Oreochromis niloticus: one gene and its partners. The protein of the gene in region 4 purifies or fractionates together with the protein of the main gene of each other region. This does not show direct contact. Links are inferred from orthologs where the notes say so. Each region holds a gene or a part of one and is shown on either strand. Other genes may lie near its edges. The genes, in order: phax, importin subunit alpha-1, kpna3 and ncbp2.

Evidence for each region.
Region 1: the proteins of ncbp2 (region 4) and phax purify together in Homo sapiens (affinity purification with mass spectrometry; 5 studies listed by BioGRID and IntAct, with this or other methods). This does not show direct contact. The link is inferred for Oreochromis niloticus from reciprocal best matches to the Homo sapiens genes NCBP2 and PHAX.
Region 2: the proteins of ncbp2 (region 4) and importin subunit alpha-1 purify together in Homo sapiens (affinity purification with mass spectrometry; 4 studies listed by BioGRID and IntAct, with this or other methods). This does not show direct contact. The link is inferred for Oreochromis niloticus from reciprocal best matches to the Homo sapiens genes NCBP2 and KPNA2.
Region 3: the proteins of ncbp2 (region 4) and kpna3 purify together in Homo sapiens (co-immunoprecipitation; 3 studies listed by BioGRID and IntAct, with this or other methods). This does not show direct contact. The link is inferred for Oreochromis niloticus from reciprocal best matches to the Homo sapiens genes NCBP2 and KPNA3.

The regions. Positions count from the first base shown.
Region 1 is NC_031981.2:38,745,713-38,753,405, reverse strand, and holds phax (phosphorylated adapter RNA export protein), read left to right. Parts: upstream 1-4,778; 5' UTR 4,779-5,186; coding exon 5,187-6,416; 3' UTR 6,417-7,180; downstream 7,181-7,693. Other genes in the region: pmpcb (mitochondrial-processing peptidase subunit beta), read right to left, coding at 334-409, 1,131-1,219, 1,291-1,376, 1,475-1,635, 1,803-1,946, 2,543-2,655, 2,813-2,892, 2,985-3,183 and 4 more. UniProt on the Homo sapiens protein: A phosphoprotein adapter involved in the XPO1-mediated U snRNA export from the nucleus.
Region 2 is NC_031971.2:28,190,268-28,197,260, forward strand, and holds the start of importin subunit alpha-1, read right to left. Parts: upstream 3,018-6,993; 5' UTR 2,872-3,017; intron 2,861-2,871; exon of another isoform or gene 2,567-2,860; 5' UTR 2,519-2,566; coding exon 2,453-2,518; intron 2,354-2,452; coding exon 2,213-2,353; intron 1,765-2,212; coding exon 1,676-1,764; intron 1,173-1,675; coding exon 904-1,172; intron 505-903; coding exon 410-504; intron 1-409. Other genes in the region: procollagen C-endopeptidase enhancer 2, read left to right, coding at 5,639-5,783, 6,677-6,763.
Region 3 is NC_031987.2:21,794,091-21,801,381, forward strand, and holds the start of kpna3 (importin subunit alpha-4), read right to left. Parts: upstream 3,013-7,291; 5' UTR 2,809-3,012; coding exon 2,740-2,808; intron 200-2,739; coding exon 155-199; intron 1-154. Other genes in the region: spryd7b (SPRY domain-containing protein 7b), read right to left, coding at 4,222-4,319, 5,340-5,442. UniProt on the Homo sapiens protein: Functions in nuclear protein import as an adapter protein for nuclear receptor KPNB1. Binds specifically and directly to substrates containing either a simple or bipartite NLS motif.
Region 4 is NC_031981.2:31,413,996-31,421,037, forward strand, and holds the start of ncbp2 (nuclear cap-binding protein subunit 2), read right to left. Parts: upstream 3,008-7,042; 5' UTR 2,907-3,007; coding exon 2,832-2,906; intron 2,495-2,831; coding exon 2,408-2,494; intron 1,439-2,407; coding exon 1,344-1,438; intron 307-1,343; coding exon 168-306; intron 1-167. UniProt on the Homo sapiens protein: Component of the cap-binding complex (CBC), which binds co-transcriptionally to the 5' cap of pre-mRNAs and is involved in various processes such as pre-mRNA splicing, translation regulation, nonsense-mediated mRNA decay, RNA-mediated gene silencing (RNAi) by microRNAs (miRNAs) and mRNA export.

The DNA of each region.
Region 1 (7,693 bases), about 7.3 Mb from region 4:
ACTGACTGCATCGTCACACTTTACACTGGAAGCTACGCTCACTTCCTGTTTTGGCTCAAGATTTAAACCCAGAGTTATGATAAACCATTCTTTTCTTTACAGGCGATAGAAAACTGATTAAAAGTGTAAATCAGGGCTAAAAGCCAAAATATCAGCCTGCATATTTCAGTCATTATAGTGATGATCAGTTGCATCAACAGCAGAGTTTTTGACAGAGTTCAAACTGGGATTCACTCCCCACTCTGACACTGAGCTGCCGGCTTCCTTCCATCTTATACTCGGTGAGTTTCGTTAAGTTCAGCCTCTGCAGGCGTCCTGTGTTTGAAAACGTACCGACTGCTGCGATGGCAGGAGCTCTGTTGTAGATGTATTTGGTGCACACGTCCTTTATGGTGTTGGCGTCGATGGCCTGTGGAGAGACATGACAAACATGGTGGAGGATCAGAGCAAAAAGAGCTTTTCAAACACTATTTCAGGTCCTGCTTAAAGAACACTGTGCCTGGGATGTTACCAGATTTACTTTGAGGTTTACTCGGCCTTACACAGTTTATCACTGTGACTCTGTTATTGTTCTGGTCTAACTGCTTTAAATGTAAAGAAACCTGACCTTATGAAAAATATACTCTTATGATGTATTTTAACTTTAAATATGGAAGCAGCAATAAGCACACACACGACGAGTGCTAGAAAGCTCAGCGTTCCCGGGATCTCACTTCCTCATCTGGTTTCAGTTTTTCTACGTTCAACAATCACGAAGGTGGAATTCTGCGACATTCTCCGACACCACGCTCTAAGAACGCATCAACGTGGAGATGTTGGAGACACGATACAGCAGCATGTGAGTGAGAGAGGGCCCTCCCAGTAAAGACACAGTCTCACCACTATAATCTGTCTAAACAAGTTACCATGGTTACCAGTTAAATAAAAAGGGAAGTACAGGCCTCAGTGAGCTGCAATAACAGAGACATACTGTTAGCTTTCATTTTTACTCCTTACAACAGTATAACAGAGCTAACTGCAGCTGCTGAATACTGAGAGTGCGCCCAGTTATGAACTTGTACAAAACGCAAATACTTACGTTGGATTTCCGGTAACAGTTACTGAGAAAGCAGAAGAATCTGTCGACTCACCTCAATCCGGGCTTCCAGCTCATGAAGAGGGATCCTGCGACTGTAGCACAGCATCTGTCTGCCGATGTCCTCGCAGATTGGGGTGGATCCTGGAGGAAGCGGATCAACACGTGAAACCAGGCACCGCACGACTGCACGCTCTACCGTCACGCTGCCTTACCGTCAAGATGCAGCAGCATGTTGGTCTTGAGCAGATTCTTGGCCCGAGCTACCTCACTCTCCGTCACACTGGTACAAAGAGAAATCCTGACAGGAAGCAGCGACACACAAGCGTTAAACACGTTCACGTCATCAGACTGTCATCAGGTTTAACCTTCTTTAAACCTGACGACTAAAGCACTCACCATTCCATTTGAGTGAAATGCATCATGTCGTTGATGGTGCTGGGTTCACACACCATGTAGAGTCCCCAGAGGCCTGTGTCTGTGTAGCAGGTGTTGAAGGACTGGAAGCTATGGCACAGGTTCCCCTGACAGGCCATCTGAGCCAGCTTACTGGACAGATTCTAAACTCAGAGGACATAAAAACAAATGATTTGCTGAATAAATGCTGAGCGTGTGGTGAGTATGTGTGGTCAGTTTTTATTTAAAGATGGCGAAGAAGAGGAAGAGCATTCAGCAGCAACACAGAGAAAACGACACGTGCCACATCCAAGGTTTCCTCAGTACTCACCACGCCTCCACCAAACGAGCGGTCCCAGTTTCCAATGAGCGTGTTGGCTACCATGAGTGGGATTGTGTCGGGGTGAGACCATCCGACAGCCTCTACGGCGATGGCGATGTGAGCGAGCGGCATTTTGTCGTCACGCACTCGGATCTGAAACGGTAGCAGAGTCCTGAAGCATTTACCAAATTAAAGCCGTTTTAATAACTTGAAATGAAACTCTGCACCAGTTTCACAGTCAACGAATGATTCAAAGCACACAAATACTTAACTAGGGTCTACTGGATCTACTGATATCTAAAGTTCTCAGTACTGTGATACAGGCCTGCAGGAGTTTTGTTTTGAAGGCACCAAGCTGGGTTAGAGCAAATCCAATCTGTGCATGTCTGGACTGAGACGAGCAGCAGGCGACACGATGCCTACGTGTTTATGGAAACTGAGTGCATGACTGTTTTTAAACGTCTTTTAAAACACTTCAAATACAACTTGAACGCAAACTTGTTCTGGTTACTCTGCTAAACAATATCTCACTGTCTCTCCGAGCATCTCCAGCTGCAGTATAATCGTTCATTTCAGGGAATATCTGACAGGCCTGAGCCATCACCTTTCATTTGCATCCTCCTTAGAGACATCCGTGTTACTCTGACACACTTGATCTTATACTTTAAATAACACAATTAGCTGCTCTGTGCTGATGTGACCATTTGATGCCCAGTTATGCAGTAGTGAGAAACTAAAGTTAGCCTTACCTCACTTCCTGTGAAATGGCACAGTGGAAGAGCCGGGGCTTCGCCTTGATGTCTGCCGGGAAGTTTTCCAAAGTGATACTTGGCCAAATCGATGAGCTCGTCATGACAAACACCTGAGCAGAGAGGGAACGAGTCCTGGAGATCAGATCAACTTTACTCTGGTTCAGAATTTATTGCTTACTTTGAGCAGTGCTCATGCATCAGTGAGTGTTTGCTGCAGGTTGTACAGAAAATGTTAACCAAACACGTGAGCAGACAAACAGCTCTGACCTCCAGCAGCAGCCAACACTATTCTGGGTCCTTTATAGTGAGCGGTGATATACTCCACCAGGTCTCCTCTGTTGATGGTCCTGCATCACAAACACACAGCAGGAAGCTAAGCTGTGCAGGATGCTGTCAGCAAACCTCAGAGTACTTTGTGTTTTTAGGTGTTTGGTCTCACTTGATGTTCTCAGTGGGGCCCAGGATGGTTCTTCCCAGTGCTGTGGACTGGTACGCTGTAGCATGCAGATAATCAAAGACCACCTCTTGCAGATTGGTCTCCACTTCCTGCATCTCTCTAAGGATCACCCCTCGCTCCCTCTCGATCTCCGCCTCTCCCAGCGTGCTGTTCTGGATGATGTCAGCCAGAATCTCCACAGCTTTGGCACAGAGAAATATTTTATACTTTAACACATTCCAGGTTTTTCTTTTGAGATGTTGCTGTGTAACATTCAGCCCTTCTGCCCTCCCGTACCTCTCGGAAGATCCTTGGAGAAAGCTTTGGCATAGTAAACAGTCTGCTCGCGGGATGTGTAGGCATTCAGGTGAGCCCCCATGTTCTCGATCTCCAACTCCAGATCAAGCTGAGAGCGTTTCCTAGTGCCCTGTCACACATTTACACAGACAAAGTGAACAAACTCTAGAATGTTATTTTCATTTTTAAAGAAACTGAACTATTACATTTATGTCATTATTTTGTTATTACGCTGCTGTGAACTATTTGAATGTGTTAATCCTGCACGGGGCAGCATACATTCAAATAAAGACCACTGCTTTAAAAACGTTCCTGCGTAGCTGCCATCACCTTAAATGCCATATGCTCCAGAAAGTGCGCTGTGCCGTTATTTCTCTCGTTCTCATAGCGACTCCCGGCATCTATCCACAAGCCCACCTGGAAGAAAGCAGGAATTAATATCCGCTTCCACAAACTGCTGCTACTGTATCACACCCCCACATCTCAGCCTGTAGTGGTAAAGCTAGCAAATGCTAACATTCTGTGTAATGCCTATTACATTTGGCTGGCTGCTTCACAATGGTCATGGTATTTTAACCACATATTTTCGTGCACGTATTAAAGCAGCCTGTTTTAAACTGTTTACTTCCAACTTACTGTGCAGGTGGGGAGCCCCGAGTCCTCAGATGCCACCCGGAGTCCGTTCTCTAAAGCAGTCACCTTGGTTTCGGGAACATTTAGCGCCACCTGGTGAGCAGCTTGAGTAGCCAAGAGTCTGTACGGTCCAGCGGTGAACTACGGGAGAAGAACAGCCAGTCATGACGCTTCAAAATTGGAGCGTTACGTTTGCTCCTACCAGTCAGCGATAATGAATAAATCTGCGCCATTGGCGGTTGTATTACACAGGGCACATCCGAACATCACCGTAAGAGTTGATTTGGTGATAGCTAAGATTTCGACGACTGTTAGCTAGCTTAAATAGCTGTTCGGCCATGCACAGAGCTTTTCCTCTGTAACACTGAGCACTGACAACTGTCACAGCTATATCAATTAAATGAGATACTCAAAACATGACTCTGAATCAATTCTTCTTACCCTGATTATTGAATTCTTCTTCAGTAAATGTCTTTGTAAGAAAAATCTCCCAGCAGAAGTGAGGCGCTGTACGGACGCCGCCATATTGTTTATCTGTAACGGTGCCGTTCTGCTGACGCAACATCCGCCGGAGATGACGACTTACTTTGTTCATAGTAGGTAAAAAATACCACAGGATTTGATGACAACCGCACAAAGAAATATATTCTTACAATCTCCTTAAATAATAAAAAATAGAGATAAACGCATCTGAACAAATACCTTTATATTTCAGACATTGATCAACCTATTATATGGAAATATGAAATGCCACACGTGTAAATGCCAGTGTAACCGATTGGTTTGTCCGTTAGCTCTGAATAAAGTATTAAAGTAATATATATTTACATTTAGGATACTTAAATTTAAGTGTTCTCAACCATATTTTATGTGATTCTGCAGTGTTTATAAAGAACGTTCTAACGTTTAATCGCTTTTGTTTATTTTGAAAGGGTGTCAGAATTTGCAGGCGGAAGTGTCGGTTTAGCCTAGCGCGGATTTTATTCCGTGAGTTTCAAGTTGGTCTGTTAGCTTCTTCCTAGCAGTTCAGTGTGTGAAATAGAACAAGGCTGAAGTCCAGCTGTATACAGAGCAGAAAGCCTGCTGCTGTAGCTTGCACTGGAGGTTTTTCCTCAGTAACCCGGACTTAATTAATTTTCTGTTGGGTTCAACGGTGTCGTTAGCTGCTAACGGTGCAGCGTTAGCTGTTCACGCTAATTAGTGGTCTCAACTTTAGCCGATGTAATAAAACAGGAGTGTGCAGCCATTAGCGTCGGTGTGGCTTTCAGAAAAGAAATGGCGGGAGGCGGAGATATCATGGACGGTGATCTGGAAGATGGAGAGATCTCTGGGTCCAGCTCGGATACTGAGATGGGACCAGCCACAGTAGCACAAGAAGCTCGACCCCAGGTTCCCTCGACTTTCTGCGGCCAGTCTTTCCAGAACAGAGCCTATGCTCAGGCACTTCCAGCCGAAGCTTATCGCAGCACAGGTAGGACGGCAGAGTCTAGTGACAGTGACCCGGAGTCCTCTGACGAGGAGGCGGCTGTTTGGCGCCGGAAACGCCAGAAAGTTACCATTGCTCCACAGCCGCCTGCATGCAACGCCCGGCTAGGGCCGACCCCTCTGCCCGCCCAGGGGACGACGGGTGGCCGCAAGGTGAATAACATTTGGGGCTCTGTAGTACAAGAGCAGTGCCAGGACGCTATCACTGCAGAACTTGGCATATTTGGCATGGATGGTGTTGGCATGTCCAGCAGGAATGTGGAGACTTATAATTTCGTCCTAGCTCGGAAGATAATGGAGAAGGAGAGGGAGATGGAGGCACAGTCAAATGAAGGAGGAGAAGTGAGCATGCTGGATGCTGAGCTGGAGGAGTACATGAAGGGTAGGGGGTCAGAAGAGAACACAGGAGCTGATGCAAAGAGAAAGAGGCCTGCAAAGGAGCGACTGGGCCCCAGAGAAGAGATGGATGTCAAAGGCCGCTATGAGATCACAGAAGGTGACCCTGAAGATAAGGTGATAGATGAGATTGCGTACAGGCTGCAGGAGCCCAAAAAGGAGCTGATCGCTCGAGTTGTCAAAGTAGTTGGCAAGAAAAAAGCCATAGAACTGCTCGGAGAGACTGCCACCCTGGAGGAGAGCGGCGGTGTGTACACCATGGATGGCAGCAGACGCCGGACACCGGGTGGGGTGTATCTCAACCTGTTGAAAAACACCCCCAGTATCACCAAGGCCCAAATCAAGCAGATATTCTTTGAGGAACAGGTGAAGGAGTACAAGAGCAAGAAGGCTGCCCAGAAGAGGAGGCGGCATTTGGTGGCCAAGAAGATGAAGCAGGCCATTGGCACACTAAACCTGCAGGAGCACGATGACGTCTCCAGAGAGACTTTTGCTAGTGATACCAACGAGGCTCTGGAGTCTCTGGAGGAAGCTGCAGAAGACGAGGAGGCACAAGAGGAAGCTGCTGTGGGCACTGAGGAGACAGCAGTGGTCTACAACGCGGCAGACCTGGAGGTGTTTTGAAAATGGCCTGCTGTCTGAACAACGATGCTAATGAAACACTGAAAGCACTGAATATGCGATTGATACAAAATCCACACTGGTGTCCTTTTTTGTTTATTTTTTTTTTTAAACCTCAGCAATAAAAGCAGCGCCTCTGTTAACACATAGCTTGTTTCATACAGCATGAACATGTTGATTGGAGCTTTTGCAGTTCAAATGTTGTTTGCCTTTTAAAACCAGTCCTTATCAACAAAATAATGTTGTGATAGTCAAATACATAACCATTTGTTGCTGTAAGCATCATTATAGAAACAGCTCTTGAGTTATTATTTTCATGCACCTCGGTCTGGAAAATAATAAAAGTGGTGACTCAGGTAAAAGAATTAAAAAACTGTAGGGTTCTTATTTTGTACACTCGCTTCCAAACACAAAATAATATAAATATTGAATAAGCGGAGTTTTATTATCATCAGATCATTATTACTGTCCTGTCATTCATACCAAGTGGAGCTTCTCAAAGAAAGCGAAGGCATTGAATGGCAGATGTAAAAGTGCTGAAGTGTCCACTAGATGGCAGCCATGTTCCAACTTCTGCAAGAGCTGATAGCCTTTTTAGTCCAAAGCTGTATATCAAAAGAACCCTTAACTGTTCCATACAGCATATATCAAAATGTATAATATAAAAGAATAACTCAAGAATTAAACTGAAAAATGCAAAACTGCATGTGTATGAGACTGCCACCTGCTATAGTAAAGGTTAAACTAACAGAGTTCACAGGTGTCTTGCTTAATTTGTGTAACTCTGGTACAAATGTACACAGTCCCCATGGCTTAGCCGTGTCACACATATGGCCTGGGGGCGAGAATCAGGCACACATGAAAGCTTATGAAAATGTAAAAGGAGGAATTATGTTTTTACAATTAAAAATAAATAAATCTATTTATTCATCCATTGAGCACCACAAATGATAAACGTCCACCACGTTAGACCTTTCACATTTTTCATTTATTTATGCAGGTGGTTAGGACAGAGTGTACTCCTAAATGACATCCTCAGTTACAACTTAAACATTTCTGCACTGATGAAAATTTCAGTTCCTGCTTTTGTTTGGATTTTTTTTGCGACACTACTACTCAACGAGTAGTGTCTTGATCAGGAATCCTAAATGTCAGCTGAAGAATGATGGATTTGCTACTTCATGGACAACGTTTTGCAGTTGATGGAACCATGAATACGGCTTTCTACAAGAAAATCATGAAGGACATCCTCAGTTACAACTTAAACATTTCTGCACTGA
Region 2 (6,993 bases), on a different chromosome or scaffold from region 4:
ACACCTGCAAAAATAAAATGAGAGCAGCTCAGAGGGAACGTGTGCACTATGGATTACCCCAGTAAATAACTGCCCAATTTGCCCAAATCAAACCAGTGACCTCTCACTACTGTCAGCTAAAGGTGTGCATTACCTGTTGAACAGGAATAAAAAGATTCACAGCTCATGCTAAGGCCTCATTGATATTTGCCCCTTAAAATGTGTCAATCTACTTGAGCTTCAGTTTTGGATTGGTCTTTAATTACATATTTAATTGTTTATAGAATGCCAGAAAATTGCTGGTGTTCTATTTTGATATAAGGTATAAAAGCTGTTTGTTTCAACTTGTTCAGGTTGTTGATGTATGTATCGTGAGAGAATTTAATACAAATGTCTGTTAAAGGCACAATAATATTTGATAGAAACTCACAGGAAATACAGACAGGTCAGGGGCTGACAGCAAAGCCAGGAGTGAATGGACACCACCATGTGAGATCACTAGGTCTCTGGAACTGGGCCCATCACCTAAATATAGAGGGAAAAAAACATCTTTAGAGTAATCAGAAAAAAGGCACATAAAGGCAGATACTTTGAAACTACACAAGGTTAGCAAAGATAAAATTTCAGACTTCTAGTTTTTAGCTTAATCACGTTTGGAAAATGGACCCAAAGTGGGACTCAGCAACAACACACTTTTTACTGTATACATACAGAAATGCACTCTAAAGCCTTTAATATCACAGGCTAAATGGAACTCCAGATGAACTAAAGTGGGCACAATTGTCCACAATAATCTACAACGCATCCTGACATCAAAACTATCAGAACATACACCTGGAACAGTGTAGGATGTAGTAATGCACAGAAGTACATCAAATCACATCAAATCCAAAGAAAGAGGTTGAGTTTTGTGAGCCACAGTACCTGCAATGTTACCCAGAGCCCAAATGGCCTGTTCGCTGATGTGCTGATGGGGTGATGTCACCAGGCTGATGAAAGCTGGAATGGCCCCTCCATCTATTACAGCAGAAGTCTGGTCTGAAGTACCTGAGGCAATGTTAGTCAGGGCCCAAGCTGCCTCAAATTGGATGGGGGGGCATTCAGACAACGCCAGAAAACTAACAAACGTTGGGATGAGTCCAGCAGCAATGATGCTGTCAATAGGTGGCTGTTTTTCTCTGGAAAGTAGCCTTCTGTGAATCAGAAAAACAGAGTTGGATCGTTGTTAAAATTGAAGTAACTTAAAAGTAAAGGAAAATCAGTTTTCACACTGCTTAATATCATTGATATAGTAATACCAGTGATATAACTACAGGCAGATAGAGAGTGTTACAGAAGGAGGACAAAGAATAAGAATAGTACAGTGTACAACAAATAAACAAAGTTAAAGTGCCACAGGCCCATAGTGAGCCCCTTTTACTGGGAGAAAGCGCAAACATTTCATATATATACGACACCAATTTAAAAAAAAAAAAAAAAAATGAGGTTAAGTTTAAAAAAGTAAAAAACTGAGTGTGCAACAGAGTGGTGCAAATTGCACTGATAAAAAAAATATGTACACTATAATACACTACAAAAACACAAGTGCCTCGTTACGCAACCTTTTTTTTTCTTCCAGCTTGAGGTTGTCACTGAGCAACTGTCTCACACTTCCACACCCACACACAGTCAATTAACCTAACATTACAAGTATTACCTGGCTGCCTGCGTTGCCTGCAGCTTATAATCTAAATTCTCGCTGTTTACACCTCCGACAATTTCCTCTACAGTCCAGTGATGAGGAGGCTATGAAAACAGAAAGAGAAATGAAAGGGGATTACTGCCAATAAAACCAGAGCAGCTAAAAATAACACATTTAGAGGAACTTGCTTTGAATGTTTTTAGGTCATGGTAACTCAATCAGGGGAACATAGATCAATTATAAATGGACTTTTCATAAATTATCAGAGATACAACTTTTTAAAAAGTCAACAGTCTGTTATCACCAGACAGACACCTGCTCCAAGATTTAGTGACCTTTGGATAATGCTCGCAAATTGAGCAGGCTTAGCTTTTTTTCTTCCTGTGTGCATGCTCTGCAGAGGTGTTCATTTGGAGGCTGTTACATCCTGTTTATAACGAGTTAACTTCTGTAATAATCCAATGTTTCAAACAAGTTAAGCAGCTGTGGTTATATCAGGTGGGTCACCTTTACTCTCACAGCCAAACAAAACACAGAGGAGCTGCTGATTACCCTTACGTTGGGGTCTTTCTCTTGCAGAGGGGACGTTGGTTCGTCCAGAAGGCTGTGGACGTTTCTCCTCTTGAGGATGTGATCATCCTTCTTGGCTCTTCGCAGCTCCACATTGACTTCCGCTCTTCTGCGCCTCAGCTCCTGATCATACCGACAGACAAATAAAAGATATACCACAGCATTCAGGGCATTTGGGATACCGAATTAACTCTGACGTTTACTGCTAGGTTCAGAGCTTACATCAGCATCTTTTCCTTTATTTTTGAACTGGTTGAGTCTCGCTCCGTTGTCCGTGCCCGCTGACATTCCTGACCGTTGAGCAACACAATCGCTTCCACTAAAATCAGGCGCTACCTGTAATAATTTCACAACGACAAAGAATAAGCGGCAGCAGCCACGGTTGCTTTTAGTTTCAGGTGTCAACTAGTAAGCAGGCGCTGAGCTAGCTAACCAGGCGGTTATCTCGAAGCCAAGCCGGTTATCTAACACCATGTGGCCCTTCAGATATAGGGTCTGTCTAATAATCTAAAAACCCGCTGAAGCTCAGAAAACAAAGGTTATACGCTGTATTAGCAATTACAAAAGGTCAATAGCAATTTCAATTAGACAAAAAACAAATAAATGCACTATTAGCCACATAGCATGTACAACGTGCTTACCGTTCAGAATTCTTGTATTCTTTTAATATATGCACAACGTCACGTAACAACGTTCCAATTTTTCTGATTTTTAATTGGCCAGTTGGATTTTTTAGCACCGCCTCATTGGTCACGTTTAAGGAAAAAACCATCAAACAACAAATATGTTGTCAAAGGCAACCGCTGTCAGTATCGCGAGAAAACATGTTAACGTTTCTGTGCGGTAGCTTGTTCTTCTTGTGCTAAATGCTATTGCTGGGTTGTAAATTTTATCATGGCTAATTATTCCTCTTTTAAATAAAAAATACATGCAATTTTTACTATCAACTAAATGAATTATACCACTGACTACATATTCGATTTTCTATTTTCATGACTGAATTTTCCCTACCTGTGCGACGTAATGACCCAGTGGCCTAATGGATAAGGCATCAGCCTCCGGAGCTGGGGATTGTGGGTTCGAGTCCCATCTGGGTCGTATTTAGCTTCCTTTTCAGGGTTCTACTGTGAGCTCTTTCACAGATTCAGAAACAAGAATATTGGAACATTGGAACATCCGGTTGTACATTGTGTGATAATACTAACGAGACATTTTTTTATTTTTATTTTTTACAGTCATTGGGTTGAACATATGACCAGCGATGAATCCTGTAACAAGCTGTTTTCAACATTTTATGGTTTGTGCCTTGTTCATAAACCCATTCAGTTGATCTGCACAGTTATATTTGATATATATAAAATGTTAAAAAAAAAAAAATGAAAAGAACAAAAATCTCTCTACAGGTAACATACAGCAGATCTATGAAAAAGGGCCTCAAAGAACCTGTACCACAATATTATGGCTATCTAAACCGTCTGTAGCACAGCCACAACCATCCTGGAGACAATGAGGAGCAGTAAACCACTGTCTTATTGGCGACAGGGCAACAGAAATAGCAGCAGCTAACTGCTCTGTAAATATATCTGAATAACACAAAGTCATAAATATATATATTCAAAACAGGTTATTTGTTTATATCTTATTGACTACAGCCTATTTAACAATATAAGCCAACATATCAGACATTAAAAAACACATCTGCCATCACTGTTTTCAGATGTCTCTATTTCTGCTCAGCAGAGGGCAGTGAATACACATGGATCAGTCAGATCTAAAAACTGTATTTAAATTAAGTGAGGAAGGATGTTAACTTAGAAAGTCTTATTAGCTCTTGTTCCTAATTAGTACCTATTTAATATAACTAGGCTATTTATTATTAAATAACTAAAAAGCCCAGTAATGCAACTTCAAACAGTCAACTGGAAACCACATCCCAGGAAAAGTTTCACTTTGAATAAAACCTGACTTTGTGTGAAGCAGACAATACGCACACAGAGTCACAGTTTCCCTCAAAGGCTGTAAACAACACTGCGGGCCTATTCAGAATCCGTGCATGAATGAAAGGAGTGTCACGTCCAAGTGTTTATTTTCTGTGTTTGGGACGTCCCACCACCTCCCTCTTCCATCCCATCTCCTTCCTGAGCGCTCCTATAAAAATCCCAGGAATCCCAACTGTGTAGCAGACCCCTGAAAGTGTGTCCACAGTGAGCTTGAAGGATGGCAGGGATTACTTTGACGCTTTTGTTTGTGGTGTTTCCTCTTTACAACACAGAGGAGCATGTCGTTAATGGTGAGTGGATTATTTTTCTTAATCTTTTTTGAATGCCGTGTTTAGTGACATTATTATCATTCATAAATATCCTAAATATCTGTTATTACATGCAATTACAGATATACAATATGCTTTAGATGGAGAGTGAATTGACCTCATGTTGTACCTTCTATGTTTAACCCTGTAACATTAAGTGTATCATATTTAATAGATGAATTTCTGAGACCCTTACATCACCAGTGTGATGTTTTTAACCCTAACCCTCTTATGTGTTTTTGTTTTGCTGAGCAATAAATTGCACAAAAATGGCAGATGTAGCAAAAAATTATACAAATTAAGAGTCACATGTGCAAATTTATATTTATTTATGTATTTTTATTTATCATAAGGTTCAATAAACACTCAAGTATTTTTCAAAAATGACAAATCTGTAATTATTTCAGGCATAAAAGGGATAATATTGTATAATATTGTTTGTACTCTATTGATAATCGAGTAATTAGTAAGAATTCATCAAGGAAGGTCCACTTTATCAATTACACAAAATTCACCCATTGTCGTAGACCTCTTTTTGCCAAACTGCGCAACTAAAGTGAAGCTTTGTTTCTTTCGACTGCAGGTCTGTACACGCTGATAGAAAAGGGTCAGAGCAGCTTTGTGGATCCAGCTCTGAGCAATCAGAGCAGACTGGTGGTTAAAGAGCCCAACCTGCCCATCAACGAGCTCCTAGAGAAGAGCAGCAAGAGCAGCGAGTCCAAGTTCAGCCTCCATCCTCTTCCTTCTGCTGTGTGGCCCAAGCACACCGACCTGGCCCACATCCCCCGCCACCACAGTCCCCACAGCAAGAGCAAGAAGGGCCCAAAGAGCGACCGTTCGGAGGAGCACAACAGCGAGAAAGCCAGAGGAGAAGTTACTGGTCTGCATCCCAAAACCCAGCTCACAGCAGCTGCAGGTGCTTCCACCAACCGCACAGTACAGAAACCCAGTCAGGACACTCAGTCCAACATCAGTCCTCCTCACAACGGCGAGCCAGAGGGACACCCCAACTCCAGACCCAGGGCGCCGCCTCAGACCCAACCTCAGGCTCAGCCACAACAACCAGCTGTTCCCCCGCGCAAAGATCCCCCAACCGACGCATGGACCCAGAGGAGAACCGGCCAGGGAAGTCCAGTCTCTATCAGTCTGGCATCAGTGCAGCGACCCGGAACAACAGCCGCCCGCCGGTGATCTTTAACCGGCGCTCCTCCAGCCTGCTTTATCAGTTTGACATCATGCGGCGAGGTATGGGAGGATTTTTTTTCCTTTCCTGACCTCAAAATGTGACCTGTGCATAATTACAGAGCTGTCCAGATATCTTTTCATGGGTTCTTTGAACCTTACTCCCTTCTGGGAGTATAGATTTTAAATTATTAATCTTGAATAAGACTGTAGCCAGATGGGAACATCTTTGATCTTTAATATTACAATATTTCTCCCTCGTAACCATCTGCAGCCTCTGGCCTTTAAATAATATATATTACATGAGTGCAAATTACCAAAACAATAAAAACATTTGTTACAGAATGAAAAAGAGCTGCTTTGTGATTGTATTTTTCTTAGTGTCATTACTGGAAGTTGACGTTTGATCACAAGGAAAGGCCCAAACTCAATTTTATTATAAACCTTTAGTGGAAAAAAGTGGATCCTGCTGAGTTTAAATTTACACTGCTGTTTTCTTTCCTGTGCTTTAAATATCACTTTAATTATCACTTTGAAAAGTCCAATCTGTTGCTGTGCCAGTATATATGTCCTGTATGCTGACACAGGTCACAGAGTTCACACAGAGGGTTGTGATGAGAGCGGTGGCTTTGTCTTTTCCTCTGGTAGGTAATTAAAGTCTCCTGCCACTAATTATAACCGCTTCCCTCACTTCTGGCTGTCAGTGCATCCCCTGTGTGCAGCCCAGTGGTGGTTATAATGAAACTAATGCAAAGCAAGGGGGAAAGCTCTGATTTTGTAGTTAAGGTTAAAAAATGTACCACCAGCGTGATCCCGAGACACGGTCCACCTCCTCCAGCCCCCTGCCGAGGAATGTGACGCCTCGGTTTTGTAATGACAGCCTCGTCTTTTCTAATGATGCTGGAATGAGATTCAGTCATTCCCTGACTCGCTGTGTTTGTCCTCCTTCCCCACAGAGTCCGACTTCACACATGACGCCTTCTGTGTGAGCGAGTGCAGGAAGGAGAAGGACGAGAAGGAGCATTACTGCTACAGTGAATTTGGTACGTGTCTAATGTGAGACAAAGACAGACTGGTTTTCAGTGCTGGTCTTCTTTATCACACACACACACAAAATCACATTAACATGTTAGCCCTCTGGCCTGTTGTGCTATTATCAACCGTCATATTTTATGGAAACCTTGCTAAGATTTTTTTTTCAGTGTCACTCAGTTCCACCATCAAGTAAACGCAGACATTTATTTTGAGAAAATATCCAAAGTTGGTAAAGTTT
Region 3 (7,291 bases), on a different chromosome or scaffold from region 4:
AGGCAGATTTCTTCCCAAGTGTTTCTAGAAACTCTTAATGTGAAACATCCATATGAAGCATGTTAAAACTTGATACGTCCAAACCCATTGGTTGGAAAACAGAAAAAGGTTTGCAATACTTGAGTGTGTAGATGAATGGGGTATTGTTTCTCACCTTTCTCAACTCAACTGTCACTTCATTTCGATGTCTTCTCATAGTCTGCAATGAAAACAAACACACACAAAAATACACAAGAGGAAATGAGAAAATTTTCCCAACTTTTGAGAAATCATGTCATTTACTGTTAGAAAACAGACACTGTAGCCTTTTACGCCAAGTGATTTAATGGATATATATTTTTAAAAAAAAACTACTAAAAACAGGTGACACAAAATTGATGAAAAACTAAGATTCTGCATCTCACAAAAAGCAACCATCACCAATCCAACTGAAAGTGAGATCATAATAAAACAACTCAGAAAGAGGACAAGCAGAGAAAGAGAGTAACTAATTGCTGTATTTGTGCGTCTGCTGGGTTTCCAATTCATCCAGAACAGTTTGAGATGGTCTCAGATCTTGTGACTATTTGAAGAGGTTCATGTTGCTTTCCTAAATAGCCTCTTACGTAATTTGGGAAAGTCATAACTTGGGAGGCTGCAGAGCAGAGGTGTCTCCCAAACACTGCAAAACAACAATAACGACGCTTACACTGAAAAATGTTTTCCTTTGCCGAGATGAAAAGTAGCCGTCCAGCTTGACTATCAAGACAAATTAAACTAGACCAAAACATTTAAACTGATTCATTGCTGAAATTCTGATTGTTTGATGGACCTAAAATATTTAAAAGTTCCTACAATACTGGTACAACAAATATGTTTAAATAAAATTAAAATTGATGAGGGCACACAGGTGCTACCAAACACACCAAAAAAGGGAGAAAAAACAAAAACTCTTTTCAAATTTGTTACTGGGGGTCCAAAAAAACAAAACAAAAAACAACCTGTCCAATATCTACACTGTGTATGACGTGCAGTAAAACAAAGAAGGGTTTTATGGCCTGTAGCAGCGAGGCTTTACTGCTTTGCAATTCATTGCTGTTCCAAATGGTGTCAGAAATGAAGAGCAATCTGTTATGCCTGACCTAAATAAATAAAACCCCAAACTGGCTTTTTTCCCCCCCCTCTGCTGTAGTCTGAGTCATCCGTTTACAAAAACTCAAATTCACGCTGACACTCTTAAGAGGACCCAGGTCAGACAAGTTGTCAAAAATAGCATCAGGAATTCACTTGGCACAAATCTGCTTGTCATAGTAGCCATGTGCTTGTCAAAGTGACTCCGAGTTTCAAAACAACCACCCAAAGGTCTTCAATCTGTGTTTTTGGAAACTGGAGTTTTTCTGGAAACTGGTGGATTTTGAAGGGCCATTTCCAGACATACCTTTGTTTGAGGATTATCGCAGGATTACCAATAGATCAGAACAACACAGCACAAGTGTGTCTTTGTTGGTGAATGCCATGGCTGAGCGTTGTTTACTGATGAAATCCAAAAATAACATATGGAATCTTTAACAAAAAAAACAAAAAAAAATAGCTGGTACTTCATTAGAGCCTTTGGTCCCAGCTTCCTTTATCTTGACTTCTCTGAACCTAGCCTAGCCTAGCATTTACCCAAATGGTTTGGTAATCATGTCAATGAGCATTGCAGTCAAATGCTGTCAGAGAAATTTATAATTAGACTCGTGAGATGAATGATGCTGCAAAATGCCCAGCGTAGATTTGCCAGCTGTGCAGACAGACTACTGATGGCGCTTTCTAGAATGAGTCTTAGCAGTGAATCTGATACGAATGCCCTCACCATTTATTCTGTAACAGCACTGTTTATTATGAAATATGTCTAAGATTAACTTAAGAAATTTCATATAACATCGCAATGTCAGAAAAAGTTATTATTAACAGCAATGGAAGCTTAATGTTGTGCCTAAAGTGCCTCTCCTCACTTCATCGTGGTGTTGTAGCAATTTCAGTGTAGTTTGCTTTTCTGATTGAAAATGTACCGTAAAGCTAAGGTCACCGCATCACTACCTTTCAGCTAACCATTTAGTGGCTTAGTTAGCAGCCCTCTTCAGCCGCCTCACCTGGCATCGCATGCTAGTCATTTGCTTGACATTAGCAAGCTAACAAGGAGGGGCAATATTTGGTTAGGGTGGATGTGGAACAGACATTTAATTATACACACACTTATCTTTTTGCTTAATATGGCAATTGTGTGAGACGCTCGCGAGTTAACACGGGTGTCATTTGAGTTCAGCTGGCTGTAAAACAGAGCGAACATCAGGATTACGGAGCCGGGAGGGCCCAGCCTTGCTTGTGACCGGTGTCTCTGCAAGTAGCTAGTTAACGCTAGCTGGCACTGACAGCTACATCGCCTGCCTTTAATTTCCCCAGTTCCAATGATTCAAATAGAACACAGTTTATCGTTCACAGACATTACAATATTAGCAAGCCACTGGTACGAACTTGATAGCTATCACCACCTTTGGTTCATTACGAGGAATTTTACCGGTAGCAAGATAGCACCTTTGATGGCGAACTCCTCACGATAGCTCGCATTAGCCAGCTAGCTTGCTAACTAGCAGGCTGGCTGGTTGGCAGGGAGCTTTGCCGGGGCCAGGCTCCCCACGGAGGCCCAAAGACCTTCTTTTTCTACATAAATTTAATTCGAGTCATGTTACGAAGACTAACGTTTATATGTCAGCTCACCTCGACATCACGCCCCTTATTTTTAAAGCTCTTGATGCGGTGGTTTTCTAAGCCGGCGTTTTCTGCCATGGCTGTATGGGGTTTAGCTGTTACTCCGGCTTTCGGGATCTCCTCCGTGAAAGACGATGTACGGCAGGTCCTGCGCCGCTGCTGGCTCCGAACAGAGGGAGGAGTACGTAACAGATCGCAGAGTGAGGGGAGGAGTTATTGCATACCTCCTGTCTGGGCTGCCCTGGTTTCCACGGCTTTCCTCGATGCAGTGACAATAAATTCACCTGCGATTTATTGCGCACGACGACGACTTTCGGACGTAAAAAAGCTGCGAAACCGCCACGTTAACAGCGAGGCACATGAAAAATACTCAGCTTCATGATCTACAATCTCAAGACATGACAGTGTTCCAGAATGATGCCGCCAGACACAAAACTTTAATGAATCAACAGTATTTGGTTTCATACAATAACATCATTAGTGCAAACAAGGACAAGCATTTGAAATATTTAATCGTCACACTTCAGCAGCGGATATGCAATGCCTGTACATAACGACAACTCCACGTTTCTGATATATCTCTAATCAGAGACGACCAGCACCAGCTCTGGAAATATTCTGATAGTTAAAATAAACACACTCTATATTTTTTAGGGTGAAAAAAGGGCTGCTCAAAGAAGTGATTTATATATATTAGTGTTTACAATTTCAGAAATATGTCAGTTGCCAGCACCATCACCTCCTGGAATGTGCACTGATTTATTGTTTGTATTAATCTTCCTATCAACTCTAAATAATGCAGTGACATTAATCATAAAGGTGTTGCGGTATCGCCATGTTTTCATTGCGTGATAATTCAAAAAGGCAGCATAATAGTCAATGTATTAGAATTATAGCTGACCCTTCATTGGGTCACTAATTTCTGCTGGCCAAAACAAAATACATATTATATCAAAAAAATAAGATGCCAAACTTTGATCTGGAAATCAAATAAATACAAATAAATACAGGGTGTATGCTGAGATGTTAGTATGATATTTTGGATGATATATATATATATATATATATATATAAAGCAATGTCAATAACACATGGCTTCTCATCCTGAAAAACAGTGAACATACCATTACATCCATTGTCTGTTATCTACACACATGTATTGTGGATTAAAGCAGCAACTGAAAGGTTTTCAATTAATACGGATTGATTATTATTGACATAAGTTTGTGATTTTACAGCTTTCCATCATCACGGACTGTGACAGCCGATTGTAGTCGAACAAGGAAGAGAAATCCCCACTTCTTCATGGGTACTCTAAAGTCAATCCAGAGCAGCAGTAGAGAGAGAGTAAACAGGGGGAACGAAACAAGATGCCTCCAAGCCACGCATAATGATACTACCAGTTAAGGTCAAACTGTAGTGATACAGAGGTTGCTAAGAGATATAGAGGAGGGCGACAACATATAGAGGGGCTGAGGCCGAAGTGCTCCTTTAGAAGATTTGTTGTTCAAAGAGGATCTTCTCAAATCCTTGTGGAGGAGTGTGATAGAAGTCACTAAACTGGCAGTCTAAGATGGCACTGTCATCCACTAGAACAGAAGATAAAGACACGATAAATCATAAGTTCAGACACTGTATTCTTGTTCACATCTTAACTTTTCTATGGTTGAATTTCACCTTTAAAGACCCTGAAAGTATATACTCTGTGAAAACAGCTTTAGGTTTTCTTCTGTTTATGAGATAAACTCTCAAAACCTCAACCTGAGCCTGTGTACGTGTGTTGTCTGAGAATGTTACCAAACACAGGGATGAAAACAGCACATTATAGATGTGTTTGTGTATGCAGAATTGCAGTGGTTGGGATTGGTGGTATAAATGAAACAGATTTCATCCTAAATATCTGGGTATTAACGGCAACTGTTACCTACAACTCTCAGACACTCAGGACATGCTAGCGAATTAATTGTGATTTGGCTGTTTACGCCACAATATTACACCAAGATCTGATTTACAAGTACACATGGAAGCAGTCCAAATTAAAAGTGATGTGATCAGGTTCCAGGTGATGCCGCCCCCCCCCCCCACCCCAATCTTAAATACAATTTTGGACACTTGCGATTGCATTCTGATCACAGCTTTAGTTAGAGAGTTCAGGTCAAGAGCAAACATCCTACATGTGTGCTGTCCAACATTATCTGGACAAGCTCCACACATCAGATGGAGAACTGAATCAAGTCACTGAAATCATCGCAATAACTTTTTACTGGACTAAATTATGCATGCCTCGATTCTCTGTGGCAAGGCCGCTGCCTTCTGATGAAAGCTGTGTTTGATCAGTTCAAATAGAGCACTCTTTCCTGTGTGTGGCGAAATATTCACATTAAAAACTCTATTAAACTCTATTCAACTAAATCTGTCAGCCTGTCTGCAGAACAGCTGTGCAAAGATGTGCAATACAGCCCTCTAGTGGAATCAAGTTGTAACTGCTATAACGAATACAAAAGGATCCATATATTTTTTGTTTTGTTATATTCAAGTAAGGCAACAATGATCATATGGTTAGCAATCATTGATAACTAGTGAAAATATGAAACCAAGAATCAACTTACCATAAACAACAGGGTATACAGTGCCTCGGATCCCTGAGGCAGGACAATGCATGTTCTTTCCGTTCAGATATAAATTCAGCTCCACGTGGTCATATGTGATGCCCTGAGGAACACAAATACACAAGCTGAGAAAAGCATGAAACTCTTGTTGAAGTATCTTATCTCGGGAGGTCACAGCTTACATCTGTGCCATGTTTAAAATCTTTTCTATATTTTAAAAGAAGCAGGAAAAGTTGTTTTTTTTCTCTCTTAAACAGAACTTTTATCAAAAAAACAAAGACAAGAAGACAATACAAAACACTAAGGTTCCCATCTCACAGACTTCTTTGCTTTCTCCTCTTATGGCAAATGAAAATGTGACTGACAAAGTTGGATTTAAAAAACATGCCAAGGCATTTTGTGATGGATAAACAAAACGATGAAGACACGCTAAATCTCTGCCGCCAACATAGTGTTAGTGTCTAATCCAAAACCGGTTCTATGCATTTAAACCAAAAACAAACAAACCCATCAACACTGTAGCACCAAACTGCTGCTCCCAAAGCTGAAACCACTGACATCAATGGGAGGGGCTACCCCCAAAAAGATGATTTACAGCCCACAGACTGAATGTGTTCATGACTTTCTTCCCACAGAAATCACCCCAACTTCTGCCACACAACAGCTGGTTTTCAAACCTGTCAAAATGTGGGCTTGTACTCAAAAGGCGCCGAGCGAGAACTGACTCAAAACTGCACTGCATCAGCAGAAAAGAGGTAATAATCATCAGCACTTAGCCGATTGAACCCGTAAATTACATTTTAGCCTTTGTAATCAAAGACTTAAGAGTTTAGAAGTATGCCTAAGTAGCCTGAATTACTCAAGAAACACTAGTGAGGGCCAATGTGTGCGAGGGCCACTATGTCAGTTTGTTTAGCTCCTAGTGTTCCAGTAAGAAGTGATAAAGAGAACAGATGATAACGTACATGTGTGCTGCACCACAACCTTACAAGCTAGTTAGTTACAAGCTGTGTAAAGTTCACCTTACTTGCATAAAAACAACTGTCGAAAAGCATCGACTGCTAATAAGCGGTCCAGTTACTGTCTCTGAGAGAGGCCGTGCACTTATATTCTTTTTAACTTTGTGACTGCCTCTATCTGTCTTTATGATTATTTGATATAAATAAATGTGCAGACTCATTGCACATGGGCTGCAGAGTACCATCATATAGGACAGAACAAACACCACAGATCAAATGCTGGATCTGATAAATCCTATTGCTTTTTGAAAAAATATAAGCTCATCTTGAATTGTGTGTATGGTGTGCATGTTCACAGTCACACACTTCAAACAATCTCAGTACGGCAACTCAGTGATCAATCACAACTTTCATACAAGTTGGTTTCTCTAGCAAAAATATTTGCAGAGATGGATCACTCCCTGTGTGTCAGAAAACATTCAAACAGCTAAATCTGAAACACAGTGCAGAGTGAGTGGTTGATCTAAATTTGATGAAAATGAAAATACTTTGTGTCATAATAAAATTAATGATAATCACTTATAGATTTACTCTTTGCCCCTTTAAAGCCTACTAAGAGTCTACTGTGATCTGAGTGGTTTCTGTCAAAGTTTAGGCCTGCTTATAAAACCAAATAAATGGGTTTACATCAGAAATTACGAGGGTGGTCTCTGCCTATGCAGCTATCCTTGGAAAAACCTGGAAACTACTCTAATGGTCATCAAACCGTGTCTTTATGGGGAAAAGAATCAGAAGGAGTGTCTGAGGAGTCAAAAATCACCGTTATAGGGTACAGGGGAGGTCATCAAATGTCTTTATGGGGGAAAGAGTTCATAATTCTCTTTGCACAAGTTTCTTCCTTTGCATTTACGTAGTTCCAGTATGTCAAGTTAATCTGCAGAAATAGCTTCTTGCTTTCTTTTAAGGCAGGTGATTTTGGTGCACTACTTGGTG
Region 4 (7,042 bases):
TCGTGGGTTAATATCTTTTTGGATTAATTCAAATACGAGTGCAGTTACTCACAGAACTAACTTTTAGCTTTGTAGTTTGCTCCAATAAAAATAAATAAATAAACCAGCAGTCGGCATCCACAGCAGGTTGCTTCCATTTATTAAAGTACTCATATCCTAACCCTCACCTGTCCTCCTGATTTGCCACGACCAAACTGTCTTCCCTCCTTGAAGCCGGCATCCCAGTCTGTCCTGATGATGCGGTCATCCAGCCGTGTGCCATTAATGAAGCGCATGGCATGCTCTGCATCTGCACGGGTGTAGTATCTGGGACAGCGTTAAGGCACAACACGTGCAATTCATGATGTTCTGGTAACTTCTGAAGGTGATTCTGAAGTAGGGGTGGGCGATAGAAACGATATACGATAGAAACGACATAAATTTGGCCAATGATAGAGATTTTGACTATACCGCTCTACCGCGATAGCGCATGTTGATGATGTCATCAAGCTGCGCCTGTTTTGGTCGAAAGCATCGCAGCGGCTACAACCATAATCATCTGCAAATTATGCCGGGTGACAGTCATAGCAAAGAGATGAAGCACTTTTGAAATATGGGGAAAGCCAAAAACTGCGCTTCCTCCACTTCCGTAACATTGATTCATTAATGCTGAATTCTCTCGCAGCTGTTCTATTCCCATGTTGTTGCAGTATATTAATAACTAACCTTGTATTGTGGATGGATTATCTCAGTTGTTCTCCTGACTGAAGTTTGGCCCGTGTATAGCATCCTGCCATGCGATTGCCTTTGTCCCTAACCACCAGAAACCCTCACGTTAACTTTTATCGAGTGGAAAAAAAGTTGGCGTTCATCCTCCAGCTTCACTGTGCTAATATTATGCTAACATAGCTGTGTCGCTAGCAATCACGTAGCACAACATTATATACCAGGTAGTCCAACTTCAGTAACCCTGCAAACGCCACTGCTGTTTGTTTTCTGTCTTCATTTATGTTGGAACTGGTAGCAGAGCTGTACGTTTTAATTAGCTTCAAAAATCTCTCAGTCAGAACATGATATGTCATGTTTAGGTGGAAACTAGGTTCGAGGTCAGTAAGCTCAACCAGAATTCATACATAAGGCACACTCTCGATTTTTGAGAAAATTAAAGGATTTTAAGTGCGCCTCATAGTGTGGAAAATACGTTATACAGAAGAAAAGAATATATCGCGATATATATCGTTACCGCACGTGCTTCAAATTATACCGCGATATGGATTTTAGGCCATATCGCCCAGCCCTATTCTGAAGGCAGTCAAATTACTGACAGTTTCTTTTAGCATGAATTAAACATTTTTGAAGGATACTCGACAAAGCAGAACCCACAAGCAGTCTTCTTGATTTTGTCGAGGCCAATGATGATACGCTTGACATCTCCACTTTTAGAAAACAGCTCGTGTACCTGTTCACAGTGGCAAAAAAAGTTAGAAAACTTGAGAAAATTTAACAAAATATCTGCAGTGAATTTCCCAACTCTGGGACTTCTCTTGTGATAAACTATCAGAAAAATCAACACTGAAAATATGTCTATTATGTGTTTTTGACATATATTTTATGTGCGACACATTGACGTTCAGTTTTTTCCATCAAATTTTCCAACCCTTGAACACAAAGACAGCTTCAGTGCAGTGCCGCTGAAAGTGTCAAGCTGCTGTGAAGCTCAGAACAGCTAAAATGCCATTCTTTACATGACTTTTTTCAGGCACACAACATGGCTCACTCATCCATTCATACAAGCACTTTCTACCTCACAGTCACACACAATTAGAAAGCAACTTGGGGTTCAGCATCTTGCCCAAGGATACTTTGGCAAACCAACAATCTTCCAATTAGTAGATAACCTGCTCCAACTCCTGAACTACAGCCACCCAACATCGAGTGCACTGCTGCGCCTGTCACACACATGCCCTACCTACCTACTCTAGTCAGTCTATATGTGCAGTCAACACCTGCACATATGGACTGTAAATTTATAGTCTGACGCGTTTTACAATCAAAATAAGCTTTTTTTCATAATTCAAAAAAGGCTTAAATTCATAAATGTATCAAATTCACCTATTAAAACTTCCACTGAGACAACACATCAGTGGAATCTGTGTGATTGCTCTGAACATATAAACACTTGAAGCTTATGTGTAATGCCAGTGGTGTTTTGGTGGCATAACTAGAGGACAATATTTGACTAAACATGTTTGTTTATCAGGCAGATGACATGTACTGTTTTATAAATGAGTCTCCTAATCTATTAGTAGCTCAGTCAGCCATTTCCCCCATCATATTGGTCTCTTTGAAGAATTTTATTTTAAAAAATTAAGCAACTTTCCAATAAAGCCGGGTTATTACTTTAACTGGTGAAGGTATTGTGTCTTACCTGCTCCTCGGTGGTGTAGAAGGAGAGATTGCCCACATACAAAGTGTTGCTCTGCTTCAGAAGCTTCTCCTGTTCATAGCGATTACCCTAAAAGCACAAGCAACGTTACAAATGTTTAAAAAAATTGCTCTCAAGAAGTTGACATTATAGCGATCAAACGACCTGTGTTGAAGCAAGGAGTTAATTTATAAGTTAGCCACGCTTTAGTCCTAACGAAGCATCATAAAACAACATCAGGACTTTTTAAGGCCAGGTTAAAATACAGAGATATGTTTTGCTGTTCTGTTTGTTCCCGAGTCACCTCCACTGCACAGCACCGCTCGCCTTTGTTGTTTGCTAACAGTTAGCTATAAGATACATTACATTTACATTCCCGTAAATCATGATAAGTCACCGCGTTCCTAAAGACCACTTCCTCATTTACCTTAAAGTGTTGGTCTCTGTATTGACTAATGTCAATGTAAGAATCACTGTTTAGCGCGTTTAGTTTAACAGACATCGTGAAAAAATCGCAGTGAGGCGCTTTGCTGCTATTCAACTAGGAGCATGCCGGAAAAGCGATGATGTTGCTTCCGTTTCATGTGTCCGTCCTTTGAATAAGTCCGGGTACAGCAACTTCTATATCAGGTTAATGGCGCCGCCTGTTGGTATCACTGACTGTAGAAAACACATAACAGTGATTTGTACAGTCATCGGTTGATATTCAATCATTGCCAAGATACAGTCACTGTTACCAGCAGGCAGACTGTCTGTGACAGTTTAAAGACCTATTTGCATAAATCATAAAACCCCCAAACCTTAAAAAAAAAATGTTAAAAAATGTTAATTACGCATCAAAATACTATTTTGAGTCCTGTTTCTATTACACAAGTACAAGGGCATAATCACGCATGAACTTCAACTTTTTTTTTTTTAAATAATACTAAAATATGTTTTTTAATGAAAGGTCACAGTACCTCAAAGTCAACAAAAATAAATAAATAAAAATAAAACAACAAATTTGGCTTTTATTCCCAAATTACAGATTGTTTTTATTCATTAATATTACAGTTTTAAAAGTTTGTCGTTCGTTTTGTTTCTTGTGTCCAAACTGGACACAAAAAGACTGAAAGCTTGCTACTGTTAAACTGAGTCGTAAGTCACATGACTGCTGGAGCTGTGTGAGATGTGGTGCCATGCTGTTGGCTACTGCACTTTTATTATTATTGGCTACTAAAGTATCAGTGCCCCTCTTTTCCTTCGTTCTTCTTCTGCTATTTTTTTAAATAGTTTATTTTGTTAATATTTTACTGTTTTATATATGTTATATATGTTGAGAAAATGTGTCTGTGTGTGTGGGGGGGGGGGGGGGGGAGAATTAATTTACTTTGATCTTATGCTTAACAAAAAGTTATTATTAATTAATGAAGCTGAGCTCTCTTTTTTGGATGTTGGCTGCCTTTTGCTCCATTGTCTGTGAAGATGATTGTGCACCACTTCAATAATGTTGAGGCCTGGGCTCTGACGAAGTAAATACATGACAGTCTTCCATTTTGGGTCTTTCTAGTTTCAATTAGAAGAGTGAAAACAAAATTTGCATTTTTGCAAGAGGATGCTAGTAACACTTTCAGAAAGCCTGCAGAACTACTGCTGAAGACCATAAAAACAATTGCAAGCCTGCTTGAAATTAAAATAGAAATAACTAGGGGTTAGCTAAAGTAGTTTTCAAGTAGTAAAAAAAAAAAAGAAATTAAAAGAACAAAAGTACTTACAAACATTTTATTACATAATTCAAATTCTTACTGTTAAAAAAACAAAAAAAACAAAACGTATCCTAGTCTGACCTGACTCCCACTTCACACTAAATTATTTCCTGAACAAAAAACCCCCTAAATAACAAAAACAGTGTGCAGATGTGAATAAACCCGCTTTATAAAATTAAAGAAATTAAGAAAAGAGATGAAGAGACGGTACAGCGTATTGAGCCCACAGTCAAATACACACTGAAAAAAAGGGACTGGCCAGCGTTTTACGTAAGCATCTTGCGTGTATTTAAAACAAGTGTCTCATGCTTTAAAGTTAAATGTAACTATATAGTGTAGAGACTACATGATATGCAGAGAGGCTAGATTAAATTGTTCATATCATGTTCAAGTGAAGTAAGTCAATAATATAGCAATGTTAAATCCCGCGACACTGCACGGGTTTCAGTCCCGTGCTCTTTGGATCGTGGTTTGAGGAAGGCATCCATCTCAGTCAAGTCGAGCAGCCGCCTCTACTTTTTTGGTATACCGAAAAAAGTAAATTGGGTGGTTGTTACATTAAAAAAGTCTAACTTGTAATTTGAACATAATTTCGTGTTTCTATGAACGTAATTAAATCATGAAGGATCTGTACGAAATTCAACAACTTAATTTGTTCTTGTTGAGATGACATAAAACAATCTAGTCAGAGTGGTTAGTTGCTGAACTCATGAAATTCACAAGATCGCACGAGATTTCAAACTGCAGGAAAATCACTGGAGATATAAGAGGCAGACAACTACACACACACACCACGTGCATGCTATTGCTATTTATTGTGGATTAACCTGTGAAGGACAAAAACAAAAAAATTCTGCATCAAATACAGGAAATCATAGTTTTCCTGTATTTCCTAGATTGTTGGCATGGTGGTTAGTGCTGTTGCTTCACAGTAAGAAGGTCTTGGGTTCAAATCTACATTCTGGCTTGTTTGCAGTGGTTTCTCTGTGGGTATTCTGGTTTCCTCCCACAGTTAAAAGTCATGCAGTTATTAGAGTTAGGGTTAACTGGTGATTCTAAATTACCCGTGAATGTAAGTGCAAATGGTTGTTTGTTTCTATGTGATAGACTGGTGAGCTGTCCAGGTTGTACCCTGCCTCGTAACCTATCACTTCAGGGTTATTTCCCAGCCCCCCTGCAACCAGGATAAAGATGATAGGAGGATGGTAGTTGCTGTAGACCCATTCAATTTTTATGGTAACCAGGATCTAGACTTTGTTGAACATTATGTAATATGAAGACAACATGTAGTATTTAAGTGACCAAGTAGTATTGGGGTAAAAGTTATTGAATAGTGTTGAAATAAAATGACAAAATTGTGAAGGATTAAATTATTCCAAGAGATCAACTTACTTCATCTGAACATGTTTCAATCGCGTTTTATGAACACAAAATGCACAGGTTTATTGAATAAAAAGCAAAGCTGGTAGAAGGAAAACAGGAGCTTTGCTGACTCTTCTCTCACATTTGCCTTTTAATCTTCATCAGAGGTCACATGGTCTCCACTCAGCAGCACCTCCTGGAACCTGGAAAAATAAAGTGAAAGCACATATTGTTATAGTCAAAGCAAAAAAACAACAAAAAAACAACCAGTGTGTGTCAATCAAATCAGTATGTTCAAGGACATCATCCTCTTAACAGATCCTGAAGGTTTTTCATATGCAGTAGTTACATTTTGAGTTCTCCAAAGAACAAAGCATTATTATCTGTGTAGATAGTTTAGTCTGGGTTTCGGCTTTGTTGCTGGAGCAATCAGCCTTTCAATGATCAAACAATCCTCAAAGAGAGGGAAAGTGAGTAATGCGTGATGCGGACCATTCTGACAGATCTGCTGGGTCTGGCAGAGATTTAATCATAATGTAAATATCCCTTCTCTTAACACACCTGCTAACCTAATCTAGCCAAGCTCAAAAGACATGCAAACAATGCAAAAGTGAGAGACATTCTTACTTCTGTGTCAGGAAGAAGGACAAGCTGACCTTCTAAAATCTATGCACAGCTTCAAGAAGGGAGTTTGTGAATCATTTGGAATTACGATGATTTCACTCAACTTGAATACAACCTGACTAAGCTAATTAACACACATAGTTGTGCTTTTCATTGTTTAATTTAACACATTAAGAAGTTATGGCAAAGGCTGGAAAGAGTTAAAAATTAACTCTTGAATTCCATAACTTGTGAAACATCCTTCAACAATCAGATATGGCCAATAAGTGCTTACGCAACATGCAGAATGCTGAGGAGAAACAGTGGAGCCTTCCTTCCTATACAAAACTCCCAGGATGTGAAGATCAAAAAATCTCTCTGAAGGTCCTACCTCAGGATCTCAGCTGGATTAGTGTCAAACCTAATCAAAACCTTAATGTTGTTTCACTGTCTTCCAGTTTTCTGGTGCTAATTAACTCGTATTCTTATTGCTTTGCAAGCTCCAGGTTATGGACTGCTGTCCTGACAAAATGTCTTCATGCAATTTAACTTCATTATTTCTTCAACTGTCGCAAGGTGTCATGGGCTCGAGAACACAGTTGCAAAACATGAGACTACCACCTCCACGCTTAATAGTTAGGAGCAGGTTTTTTTGGAGTGCAGTGGTTTCCTTACTGTTTTCATCCTATTTGTGGAGATGTCTGCAGGTGTTTTGCTGCTACCTCTTTTGGGATTGAAACCTTGGGATGATCTCTGCAGTATGTCTCAAATGCAGAGGAGCAGCAGCCCTAAATTACACCTAATTTACAGACAATTTGGCTCATTGTAGACTGATGAACATTCAGGTCACTTTAGTTTTTCTAGCCTTTCCCACTTTTTTTCATCACAGTAATGCTTCTAAGGTCCTGTGAAAGCTGTCGCAAACAAG